Linked DNA regions of Mus musculus. The protein of the gene in region 1 purifies or fractionates together with the protein of each later gene. This does not show direct contact. Links are inferred from orthologs where the notes say so. Each region holds a gene or a part of one and is shown in the gene's direction. Other genes may lie near its edges. The genes, in order: Pold3, Sprtn and Pold1.

The links.
Region 2: the proteins of Pold3 (region 1) and Sprtn purify together in Homo sapiens (affinity purification with mass spectrometry; 3 studies listed by BioGRID, with this or other methods). This does not show direct contact. The link is inferred for Mus musculus from reciprocal best matches to the Homo sapiens genes POLD3 and SPRTN.
Region 3: the proteins of Pold3 (region 1) and Pold1 purify together in Homo sapiens (co-immunoprecipitation; 8 studies listed by BioGRID and IntAct, with this or other methods). This does not show direct contact. The link is inferred for Mus musculus from reciprocal best matches to the Homo sapiens genes POLD3 and POLD1.

What each region holds. Positions count from the first base shown.
Region 1 is NC_000073.6:100,111,390-100,115,033, reverse strand, and holds part of Pold3 (DNA polymerase delta subunit 3), read left to right. Parts: intron 1-2,661; coding exon 2,662-2,764; intron 2,765-3,644. UniProt on the Homo sapiens protein: Accessory component of both the DNA polymerase delta complex and the DNA polymerase zeta complex.
Region 2 is NC_000074.6:124,896,342-124,900,726, forward strand, and holds the start of Sprtn (sprT-like domain-containing protein Spartan), read left to right. Parts: upstream 1-1,552; 5' UTR 1,553-1,816; coding exon 1,817-2,040; exon of another isoform or gene 2,041-2,272; intron 2,273-2,734; coding exon 2,735-2,834; intron 2,835-3,865; coding exon 3,866-3,994; intron 3,995-4,385. Other genes in the region: Exoc8 (exocyst complex component 8), read right to left, coding at 1-1,285. UniProt on the Homo sapiens protein: DNA-dependent metalloendopeptidase that mediates the proteolytic cleavage of covalent DNA-protein cross-links (DPCs) during DNA synthesis, thereby playing a key role in maintaining genomic integrity.
Region 3 is NC_000073.6:44,532,103-44,535,532, reverse strand, and holds the end of Pold1 (DNA polymerase delta catalytic subunit), read left to right. Parts: intron 1-340; coding exon 341-516; intron 517-816; coding exon 817-969; intron 970-1,045; coding exon 1,046-1,148; intron 1,149-1,515; coding exon 1,516-1,648; intron 1,649-1,735; coding exon 1,736-1,849; intron 1,850-2,107; coding exon 2,108-2,160; intron 2,161-2,231; coding exon 2,232-2,329; intron 2,330-2,638; coding exon 2,639-2,744; 3' UTR 2,745-2,789; downstream 2,790-3,430. UniProt on the Homo sapiens protein: As the catalytic component of the trimeric (Pol-delta3 complex) and tetrameric DNA polymerase delta complexes (Pol-delta4 complex), plays a crucial role in high fidelity genome replication, including in lagging strand synthesis, and repair.

The sequences.
Region 1 (3,644 bases):
GTCAGGACAGCCAGGGCTACACAGAGAAACCTTTTCTTGAGAAAACAAAACAAATTCTTGTTTTTAGTTCTTTTTTTAAAGTATTATTTAACAGACAAGATCCTTCCTCATTGACTTAAACATGACATCTTCAGATTGGAAAAATATTATGGAGGACTAAAATTGGTTTGGTTCCAGGGGAGCTAAAGGAGAGGAAAGTTAAGGGTCTCGGGGAGGTTGTAAGTCATCATGTGCATAGGAAACATTCTGCAGCATGTCAAGGCTTTTCACTCATTTTAAAGAATATTTCACATATATTATTGTCAGAAATGGAGTACTTGCCTTTACTAAATAAGAAACGTGTTAAAGTAGGTATAAATTCCTTTTTAAAAAAGTTTGTTGTAAACTTCTCAGTAAGAAGGGAAATAGATTAAAAAGAAAACAAAACAAAAACAAGTGAGAAGAGAAACTAATATGGGAACAGCTGGGGTTTATTTGGGGAAACCTGTGCAGAAGACAGTGGTTTGCTGACTGACCCAGGCAAGGTCAAGAGCTGTGGAGAAAAGACTAGTTGGCTGACACGCTTGAGAGCATGGTAGACATGGTATTTGCCTTTTTGGTTTTCTATTAGCAGGTCCTAATTAGCATCAACAGTCAAGAGTCCACCCCCTCATCTGCCCTTCTAACGTGGTCTCTGAAGTGGGGAAGATGTGAGAGAGCAAGGCGGAAGAATCCGTAAAACTGACAAATAGTGCACGCTTTGTACTTACGTAACTGGTGGTGTATGGAAAGGCAGCCTTAAAAACCTGTGATAGAGTGTGGTGTAGTAGATGTCAGAATGCATGATAGGGCGTAAGCTGTTAACACTCGGGAGGCAGAGGTGCTCTGCTTGGCTAGCCGTGTCAGAGAGACTTGGAGTAGGAGGAATTAGATGGATGGAACCTATATAGCCCTGCCTGGCCTGGAATTCCCTATGTAAGCCAGGCTGGCCTCAGACTCCCTCCCTAGGATTAAAGGGAGGCAGACAGATGGCTGTGATTCAAGTTCCTACCAATTTTAAGCTTACGCTCTAGGAAAGAAATGGCTGGTCCAGATGGGTAGGAGCCGTGACTCCTTTGTTTACTGCTTAGAACACAAGTGGGCACTCAGGAACGTTTTGATTCGTTTTTTTAATCTATTGACTTTTTTTTTTTTTTTTTTTTTTTACTGACTTGCATTTTAAAACTTCACTATGACAGCCTCACAGATAATGATGGTGAAAAGAGAATACAGGTGACCCTTGGACTTGAAATAGTCTAGTATAGCGTGTTGGAGAGCATAGAGTCCAGTCAAGAGTTAGTTGGGAGGGAGGACTGATGAGACTTGGCAACTCATTGCATAAGGAGAAAGGTAATGACTCCTGGATTTCTGGCTAAGGTGGTTTGAACAAATGATGATGTCATCAGGGAAAAAAAACCGAAGCCATGGAGTTGAATAAAATAGACAATGGAGGATACCACGGGGTGACCAACCATATCCCATTTCCCAGGAAACCTATCTGAGTCAGGCAAACTGGGGTGACTGGTCATACTAAAATAGGGTAAGATGGCTAAGGAGAGGAAAGCACAGAAACTGCAGGAAAAATGGAGCAGGTGTAGCAGGGGACTCGGCTGGGTATCGTGGAAGGTAAGCGAGGGAGGGCGTCTGGAGAAGACAGGGTTTCTTAGGCTTACTGGAGTAAGCCTGGTACTTACTGTGTAGACCAGGCTGGACTTGAACTCACAGAAATCCACCTGCCTCTTCCTCTAGGATAATTAAAGGCCTGTACCACCATACCTAGCTATCAGAATTTCTGAGTTTCTGGCTGTTCTCAACTGAAGTGTGATATGTTGTAGAAGCTTGCTAAATATTTCTTGAAATAAAGACAGATGATGTGCATCTTTTTATTGTTAAACTCCATTGAGGGGCATCAACTTCTGGTATTTTGGGTGGTTGGGATAAAAGTGAATAAAGACTTTACTGCAAGCAACACTTCTGCATTTAGTGTGTGGTTAATGAACATTTTAGATGTTGGCTGGTGTAAGCATCTGCTATATTCTACATCATGAAACATCTGACTGTATGTAATTCAGTAGTAACAGGTGAATATATATTTGTCATGATGTATATGATGACTTGAAGTATTTAACATAATGATCTCATAGAATTACTAAAAACCCCAAATCCTTTCCATCTCTAGGAAAGCACATATAGACTATTGATATTTGAGAATAGAGGCTTGCAGACAGTGTATGACTTCGGGTTATAAGAGTTATTCATGTAGTAATGCCACTTGTGCTTTATGCCTGAAGATAGGAAACCAAGAAAAGTTTATTCTGGATGCCATAGCTCGATAATTGACTCACTTTTGTATCTGCAGTTTGGCCATTGCCACTGTTTGACTATGGGTTCTGTCCCTCTTGGCATATTTCTAGATTTACCTCAGTTACTTCCTGGGTGTCTTAGCCAACTCAGATAAGTTGGTTCCAGTCCCATGCTCCATCTAAAGTTTTTTCATTGTTTTTTCAAAAATCTGTTCAGTAAGTAAAAAATTGTGCTGTTGAAGAAACTGTCAGATTTCATATATATGACTTCCAAGTCATGAATCCGGAGTCGATGAGGAAGCTGCATGCTAATGAGTCACTTCTGTCTTGTTTGGCACAGGATGCTCTATGAATATGTTGAAAGGAAACGGAAAGAAAATTCGGGAGCTCAGCTGCATGTTACCTACTTGGTGTCTGGCAGTCTTATACAGAACGGACATTCTGTAAGTTCTCTTGTAACAAGACTTCATGTTCATGAGATAGAAACATTATTAGAAATAACAGGAGGAAGAAGGAAGAGTGAATGGTATGGAAGTTTTAAAGTACCTCTTAAAGAGAGTGAGTGTTCTGAAATTTTAAACTAAATCTGACAAGAAAGGTTATGTAATATCTTGTCTGTGATGAGGAGACTGTCACTCTTAGTTACCTAGGAAATGAGACATTAGGGAATGGCTTTTCCTTGAACCTCTTTTTCCTTTTGAATACGTATTGTAGACACTGGTACTTAATTTTCATCTTCAAATTTCAAGTCAGATTCCAATGTTAAATAAAAAAGGAGGGAAAAAAATTAGGTGATTTGTAACCTGAGTACTCGTTTTGATAGGTCACTTGGAGTGGCCTGTTGTAAGGCCGAGGCTTAGCTGCTGGTACAGACAGGTGTTTAGGCTCCTGCATTCTTTTCTGTTCTTGCCCCTCTGCATGCCCGCCAGCTCAGGGTACTGTTGCTTTTTTCATCTCAACCACAACGCAGTCTCAGTCCCAGTCTCAGCGCTGGTGCTCTTTTGTTGACTTCCATTGTTTCCCTCGCGGTGGGGAACAGGTATTACTGAGCTCTTCCCAGGCCTTAAGCACCAGAAGCTCTGTTGCCTTGGACTGAATCCAGGGCTCGTTCATAGTTCTTGCACACCGGCTTCCTGTGCAGGTCTTCTCCGTCCTCACTTTCCTTGAGCCTGTCTGAAGACACCTCTGTTTCATTGCCATCAGTCCCAGGATCAGGGCTCCTCGTGGAGGTCTACTAAGATGCCTTTTTTACTACCCTTTTGATTTTCCTTCAAAATCATACGTTTATAACCTCAACTTTATTTGCCATAATACTAATGGCAG
Region 2 (4,385 bases), on another chromosome or scaffold:
CTGCGGCCCTGTTCCTCAGAAACAGCTCGCAAGCCTTCGTGCACTGGCCCAGCCGGATCAGCTGAGACACGGCTCTCCGAGTAGCCTTGGGGCCGCCTCTCAGAGAGCGATCCGGGGAGAGCTCAAACACAAGCACCTCGGTGAGCTGTCGCACTCGTTCGTCCACTTTGGCCCTCAGCTCTTTCACAGGAGGTGGGCTGGGCTTATCTTCCAGGTAGTGATTTAATTTGTCCAGCAAGTCCACGGCACCCTCAAAGTCCCTCTGTGCAATACAAACATCCAAGTCTTCCGGCAGCTCTTGGATCCACTCCATGGAAAGGTCAACCTTTTCCTCCTCCGCCTCAGGGGTGGCCAGTTCTTCATCATCCTCGTCCTCAAACGGGTTGCTGCCCTTGGAAGTGACCGGTGGTGGCGCACGCGGGGCTGCTGCCTCCTCCTGCTCCCGCCTCCTCTTGTCGCTGAGGGCCCTCTTGGTTTCCTCCAGCACTTCCAGCCACTCGCGCTTGATCTTGGCATTTTCCGCCTGGAAGATTCGGCTCTCGGGGAACATGAGAAGCTTGAACATGTCTTTCATGGGCGGATTGTCTTTGACGTTGACCACCGCCAGGCGGTCCAGCGGGTAGAGTGCGTTGTAGCGGTACATGCCTCGCCGTTGTGGCAGCCAGGTGGCCACCAGCAGACAGTCGTTCATGAGGAAGCCGTGCACGCGCTGCAGCTGGGCCATGTGGTCCGCATCGTATTCCACCAGGTCCCCGTTGTACACCAGGTACTGACCTGGCGTCTCCAACAGGTCCCTGCAGCCCTCCACCTTCTCCAGCAGCGTGGTGAGCGTTCGCTGCTTGCCCTCCTCGCCCGTCCCGGAACCCTCTCGAGGGACGCCCGCCGGCCCGGGCAGGAAGCCCGCCTGGACCGCCCCGCGCTCCCGCGGCCCCGCGCCGGCCGTGTCCTCACCCGCAGAGGCGCCCGCGGCGGCGGCGGGCAGCAGTGCCAGCGGGATGCTCTCCAGGCTGCTCTTCTGCTCAGTCAGCAGGTGGCTCAGCTGGTACATTTCGCTCTCCAGGTAGGAGATCTCCCGCGCCGTCTCGATGAACTGCCGGTAGTTCTGGTAGACGTTGCGCTTCAGGTTCTGTGCCGTCTCCTCTGCCAGCGCCTGCACCCGCTGCCGGTGCTCCTGCAGGTCGCGGTCGCCGTCCGACTGCTGCGACAGTTGCTTCACGTACAGCCGCGCCTCGAAGCCCCCCGACTCCAGCTGCCTCCGCAGGCGGCTCGCCCCGCTGTCCGACATGGCTGCCACTCGTCTTGCTCCCGCGGCCCGCAGTGGCTGTTACTCGCCGCCTCCGGGCCCCACCCGAGCCCGGTGGAGAAGGCAGCGGAGGAAGCGGGGCGGGAGCAACACCCAAACGCCTGCGCCGGAGCCGAGCGCTGCATTGCGCCTGTGCCAGAGTCGAGCCGCTCGCACTGCGCCTGCGCCCGGGGCGGAGTGCGGACAATGCGCCTGCGCGGAAACGGCAGCGTCTTAAGGCGCGTGCGCGGACGAGCCAGCACGGAAGTCAGAGGAGGGTCCGGCACGGACCAGACTTGACGTGTGTCGCCGGACCTCAGCGGCTGTCAGGAGACAACCGGCTGCCTAAAGCCGTCCCCAGCCCGAGCCCAGCGTTCCTAAGCCTGTGCCCGCGGGGCAGCGCCGAGCCACCTTCGGTTAGGCGTTCGAGGCTAGCCCGCGCGCCCTGACAGCAGGGCCGGGAGGCCTCGCGAGATCCGTGCGCCGCACGAGCCCGACCGGCGTCTTGGGAGCGGCCGAGGTGGGAGTAGCGGGATGGACGAGGATCTGGTGGTCGCGTTGCGGCTGCAGGAGGAGTGGGACGTGCAGATGGCGCGGCGCGCGGCGGCGGCGCGGGAGCCCGTGTCGTTGGTGGACGCGTCCTGGGAGCTGGTGGACCCCACCCCAGACCTGCAGGCGCTCTTCCTGCAGTTTAACGATCGCTTCTTCTGGGGTCAGCTGGAGGCGGTGGAGGTGAAGTGGAGTGTGCGCATGACCCTGTGAGTGCGTCCGCGAACGGCTCGGAACGTCGGGAAGGGCCAGGCCGCTAAATTGTCGTTGGTGTCCCCGCCTCGCGGCGCAGGGAGAGGTCGCCGGGAAACGTGCCCACTCCCCAGTCCCGGGCCCAACGTCCCTCAGTGATGAACCAGCCGGATCCCTTATCAGAGTTTGAGAAATCCTATTCGAGATAGTAATCTGCCCCGCACATACACTGTCACATAGCAGCTTGAGGTAAAGCAGGCTAAGACGTAGTGTACTTCTAACCTCATACCAGCCCTGTGACTGTTTTGGGAGAAGTGCCCATGTATGCCTGTGCGGAGGGGAGAGGGTGACAGTGGGTGAGGGTTAGCAAGTGTTAACTCTCTGAAGCCAAGTGACCCACTCAGGAAAGCCATCCTCCCATCAGGGACGTTTTCTTGTGAAACAGTTCTTGCCCAAGAACTGTTAGGGATTTGCTGCCCACCCCCACCCCCTTTTTTGTGGGGAGAGGGGAGAGGGCCTCACTATGTATCTGTGGCTGTCCTGGAACATACTCTGTAGACCAGGCTGGCCTGGAACTCGGAGATCCTCCTGCATCTGCCTTCCACGTGCTGGGATTAAAGGCCTGCACCACCATGCCAGACTAAGGTTTGCTTTTTGTTCTGTCTCCTCTGTATTCGTTGACCCTAATCCATTGTTGTGACTGTTTTCCAGGTGTGCTGGGATCTGCACCTATGAAGGGAGAGGAGGCATGTGCTCCATCCGTCTCAGTGAGCCCCTGTTAAAACTGAGACCAAGAAAGGACCTTGTAGAGGTATTCTTTGCATAAGCCTGATTCTCAACAAGTTGATTTGCAGGATTTATTTATTTATTTATTTATTTTTAAGAGATGGGTTCTTTGTTTGTTTGTTTGTTTGTTTTTCGAGACAGGGTTTCTCTGTGTAGTCCTGGCTGTCCTGGAACTCACTCTGTAGACTGGGCTGGCCTCGAACTCAGAAATCCGCCTGCCTCTGCCTCCCAAGTGCTGGGATTAAGGGCGTGTGCCACCACCACCCGGCTAGAGATGGGTTCTTGATAGCAGCCCATACTGGCTTCAACCACAAGATCCTCTTGCCTCTACCCAAGGGTTTACAGCTGTGCACCACCATTCCTGGCCAGGTTATTTTGTTGATTTTAAGAGACAAGAGTCTCTGTTCCTTAGGTTGGCCCTGGTCTTTATGCTTCTCTTGCTTCAGCTTCCCCAGTGAGCTGTCATGCCCATACCCAGCTATTTTTAGAGGGGTTGATGGTGAGCTGATCTCAAACGCCTGAGCTTTCTGCCTCCATCTTGAGATTTGCCATCACGGGTACGCACCAGGCTGTCGGCTCTTTCAGTGTTGGCATTTCCGGTTCGGCACCTGGAGTCTGGATTGTAGAGTTTTCACTATCAGGATTTTAAAGTTTTGTGTGGTTGGATTCACTGACCTTTTGGGTTTGGGTTGGTTAAGTTAAATGGGCCTTTGTGAAAAATGTTAATTCTGTGAAGGGGATTGTTGACTGGGTTCTGCAGAGCTTGGAATATTATATGTAAAGGTTTGTACTTGGGTCTGCAGAAGGATAGGACTGCAGGTTAAGAAAGAGAATTCATGCCGGGCGTGGTGGCAGAAACCTTTAATCCCAGCACTTGGGAGGCAGAGGCAGGCGGATTTCTGAGTTCAAGGCCAGCCTGGTCTACAGAGTGAGTTCCAGGATAGCCAGGGCTACACAGAGAAACCCTGTCTCAAAAGACCAAAAAAAAAAAGAAAGAGAATTCCTTTTATCTTTAGACATGCCCTAGAAAATTAATACGCTGGTTTTCTGTTTCAGACTCTTTTGCATGAAATGATACATGCCTACTTATTTGTCACTAATAATGATAAAGACCGGGAAGGACACGGCCCAGAGTTCTGTAAACATATGCATCGAATCAACCAACTGACAGGAGCCAACATAACGGTATACTGAGCCACACAGGTGTGGGGAGCAAGCAAGATCAGGGTTTTACTGTCTAGCCCAGTCTGGCCTCAAACTCACAATTCTAACTCAGCCCAAGTGGTGGGATTATGGGTATGTGCTACCAAACCCAGTAGCCATTCAGTAAAAGTGAACTAGGTAGAAACGGATATTTTTAGCCTTGAGCAAAAGCCCTATCATCTAGGCTCTAGGTGGAGTGGCTAAGGAGCCAGCAAGCCTCTTTGCTGGGGCTTCCATTAACTGCAGGTCAGCATCTCAGGCATACATTATCCTCCTCTGACCTTCAGGGGCAGCTCCAGCTCATCCTAAATTCTCCCTCATCGTCCCGACAGTGACAATGTTGGAGGAGATATCACAGCCAGGGCTGAGGTGT
Region 3 (3,430 bases), about 56 Mb from region 1:
GATCTGTCTGCATGTACGTGGCTCCAGTTCTCGCCAGAAGCTCAAACATGACACCCCTGGCTTCTCATCCAGGGTTATCTCAGCTCAGGGCTCACTTGGTCCTGTCTCTTCCCATGGCTGCAAGACTTTACAGTGTCACCTGTCTGGATTTCATAATTTCGGGGCCAGCCTTAGGCCTATGGCATTATGTCAAGTGGGTTTCTGGGGTGCTGGAGAGTGCTGGGCCTTCTTGGGATTCATTCCTTGCCTGTTGTGTTTCCTGGTCTCGGGATTCGGGGCGGAGGAATGTGCACAGGCCATGGAGGAATGTGCACAGGCTCCGCCCATGGGTCCTTTGCAGGTTTACTTCCCATACCTGCTCATCAGCAAGAAGCGCTATGCTGGCCTGCTCTTCTCCTCCCGCTCTGATGCCCATGACAAAATGGACTGCAAGGGCCTGGAGGCTGTGCGCAGGGACAACTGTCCCCTGGTGGCCAACCTCGTTACATCCTCTCTGCGCCGGATCCTCGTGGACCGGTGTGTGTGTGTGTGTGTGTGTGTGTGTGTGTGTGTCTGTGTCTGTCCCACCTAGGCCAAGAAGTCAGCCTCCTGCAGACCCAGGGGCCTCTCATACCTTGGGAACCCAGGTGGCTCAGGGGTGGGGCGGTGGTAAATCAGGCTGGCAGCTGTGACTGCCTGTGGCCTTTCCCGCCTCTGCACTTAACCCCAACCCCAGTGTCAGCCCAGAGTGCAAGATGCCTAGATCCTAGCTGGTAAAAGTTGCATCCCCATCCCGTAGTGCCTGTGGACATCCTCCCTCCCCCCTCTCTCTCTCAGGGACCCTGATGGGGCAGTAGCCCATGCCAAGGACGTCATCTCGGACCTGCTGTGCAACCGCATAGACATCTCCCAGCTGGTCATCACCAAAGAGTTGACCCGCGCAGCAGCAGACTATGCTGGCAAGCAGGCTCACGTGGAGCTGGCTGAGAGGTGGGCAGCCACACAGCTTCCTGCAGCTGGCTCCACTCCACCCTCCCCAAACCTCATCCAACCCCCTTATCCGCAGGATGAGGAAGCGCGACCCCGGCAGTGCGCCCAGCCTGGGTGACCGAGTCCCCTATGTGATCATTGGTGCTGCTAAGGGTGTGGCCGCCTACATGAAGTCGGAGGTCAGGCCCACCTGGGCTGGGCCCCTCCCAGAATTTCACTTCTGCTTTCCTGGGGCGGCCATGCCCCTGGGCCATACTTAGTGTAGTGCCTCCCTGGGCAGAGTTGGCTGCTGCGCCCTCCCCACCTGGGTTGCCAACTCTATTTGTCTTTGTCATCTCCAAGCCTGGATGCTTCTGACCCCTGCACCCTATCCATGGCCCTTCTCCCATGGGGAAACTAACTCTTGGCGATCTGAGGGTCCCCACCCAGACCCGAGTCACAGTTCCAGGCCCACCCCTTTATCAGAGCCTGCAGATACAGTGTGTAGCTCTCTAGCCCCTAGCCCATGCCCCTCTGCAGCCATTGGTGACCCTGGCCTGCCCACAGGACCCCCTGTTTGTGCTGGAGCACAGCCTGCCCATCGACACTCAGTACTACCTGGAGCAGCAGCTGGCCAAGCCGCTCTTGCGCATCTTTGAGCCCATCCTGGGTGAGGGCCGTGCAGAGTCTGTGCTGCTGCGTAAGTGGACCGCCCAGGAGGGAGTGTGAGCGGGGAAAGGGGCCGAGGCGGAGGCAGGGACAAGGCCATTCAGCTTCCCTCCTCTAGGCGGTGACCACACACGATGCAAGACTGTGCTCACCAGCAAGGTGGGCGGCCTCTTGGCCTTCACCAAGCGCCGCAACTGTTGCATTGGCTGCCGCTCCGTAATCGACCATCAAGGTGAGACCGAGTTACAGCCCTTATACCCACTGGTCGGGCCCTGCCACAGGACTCCATTCTGCCTGCACTCCAGCGGAGGGTCCTCGCCTGCCCCGGGGTTCCCCAGGGGAGTTTTCCCCACACACTTGGGCCCTTGTTCTCTTGCCTCTGGGGACTTTCAGAAGCCGGGATGGGCAGCGGGTGGAGAAGAGATGCAGGGATGGAGACTAGAACCTGGCTTGGTCCCAATACCTCTGTGCTCACCCACCCCACCCCCAGGAGCCGTGTGTAAGTTCTGTCAGCCACGGGAGTCGGAGCTCTATCAGAAGGAGGTGAGTGAGGCAGGGAGGGAGCTGGAGCACGCCTGATCCGAACAGCCCTGCTCAAGCCACTGTGTCCCCAGGTGTCACACCTGAATGCCTTGGAAGAACGGTTCTCTCGCCTCTGGACACAGTGTCAACGCTGCCAGGGCAGCTTGCATGAGGACGTCATCTGTACCAGGTGTGCCCTCCCCCCTCCTGCCATCAGACTCCTGACCCAGCTGTGGGACCTCACTGCAGAATGGGCAGGGTCTGCCTGGGCTTGGTCTCTGCCTAGCCTCCCCCGGGGTGGGGCCGGGCTTTCCCCAGGGAACAGGCGGGCGGGGCGGGTTCCCACGCCAGGTGACAGCTGATATACAGCTGTCTACCTCTAGGGGTACTGCTGTTATCGGCTTCCCTATGCCCGATAAGCAAACAGCCCCCTCCCCTGGGTGGGCAGCAGGAAGGGGTCAAAGTCCTGGGAACAGCCCCTGACCACCATCCTCCGCAGCCGTGACTGTCCCATCTTCTACATGCGCAAGAAGGTGCGCAAGGACCTGGAAGACCAGGAACGGCTGCTGCAGCGCTTTGGACCGCCCGGCCCTGAGGCCTGGTGACCTGACACGGGACAAGGAATAAAGTTCAGATCTTTTGCTACTGGCTGTGTGTTGTGGTCTTTGGGAACAGGTTGGGTTTCATGGTGTAGACTCTGTACAACCCTCTGGAGCCCCAGTGTGCCTGCCTGTGTCCACACAGGACTGACATCTCTGTTTTCCCTCTGAAACCCAGCATGGGACCCTACTACTCTGTTTTGCCCCTCCCCAGGGGACTGGTGGCCACCCAGCTGGCATTAGGTGCTGTCCAGGCCTGGGGCAGCCCCTAGCACACCTCAGGGCAACATGGGACCCTCCCTGTCACGGCACAGCCATGGAGTAGCTCCCACCAGAGGGTCCTGGTGGTCTGTCTCCCCGGGCTTCCCCTCAGCTCTTGGGAGATTCCCTGTCCTCATACTGTGTCTGGGCTTCATGTTCCCTGCCATCCTGTCCTGGTCACCATTGGTCCCTCTGACATCCTGTCCCCAGGGCCTGCAAATCTTTTGTCTCACTCCCCTTTCTCAGCAATTCTCTCCATGTCAGCCTTCCATCCCCAATGGTGGGGATCCCCAAATCCAGATGGCTCCTAGGCCCACCCTCTCTGCCATGTGACTAGAGGGTTGTGCAATCCAGACCCCTCCCAGAGGGGATTTTTGAGGAGGGCCCCCATGGCCCGCCCCTGGGGGTAGGTAGGCGGAGGCTGGGCCAAA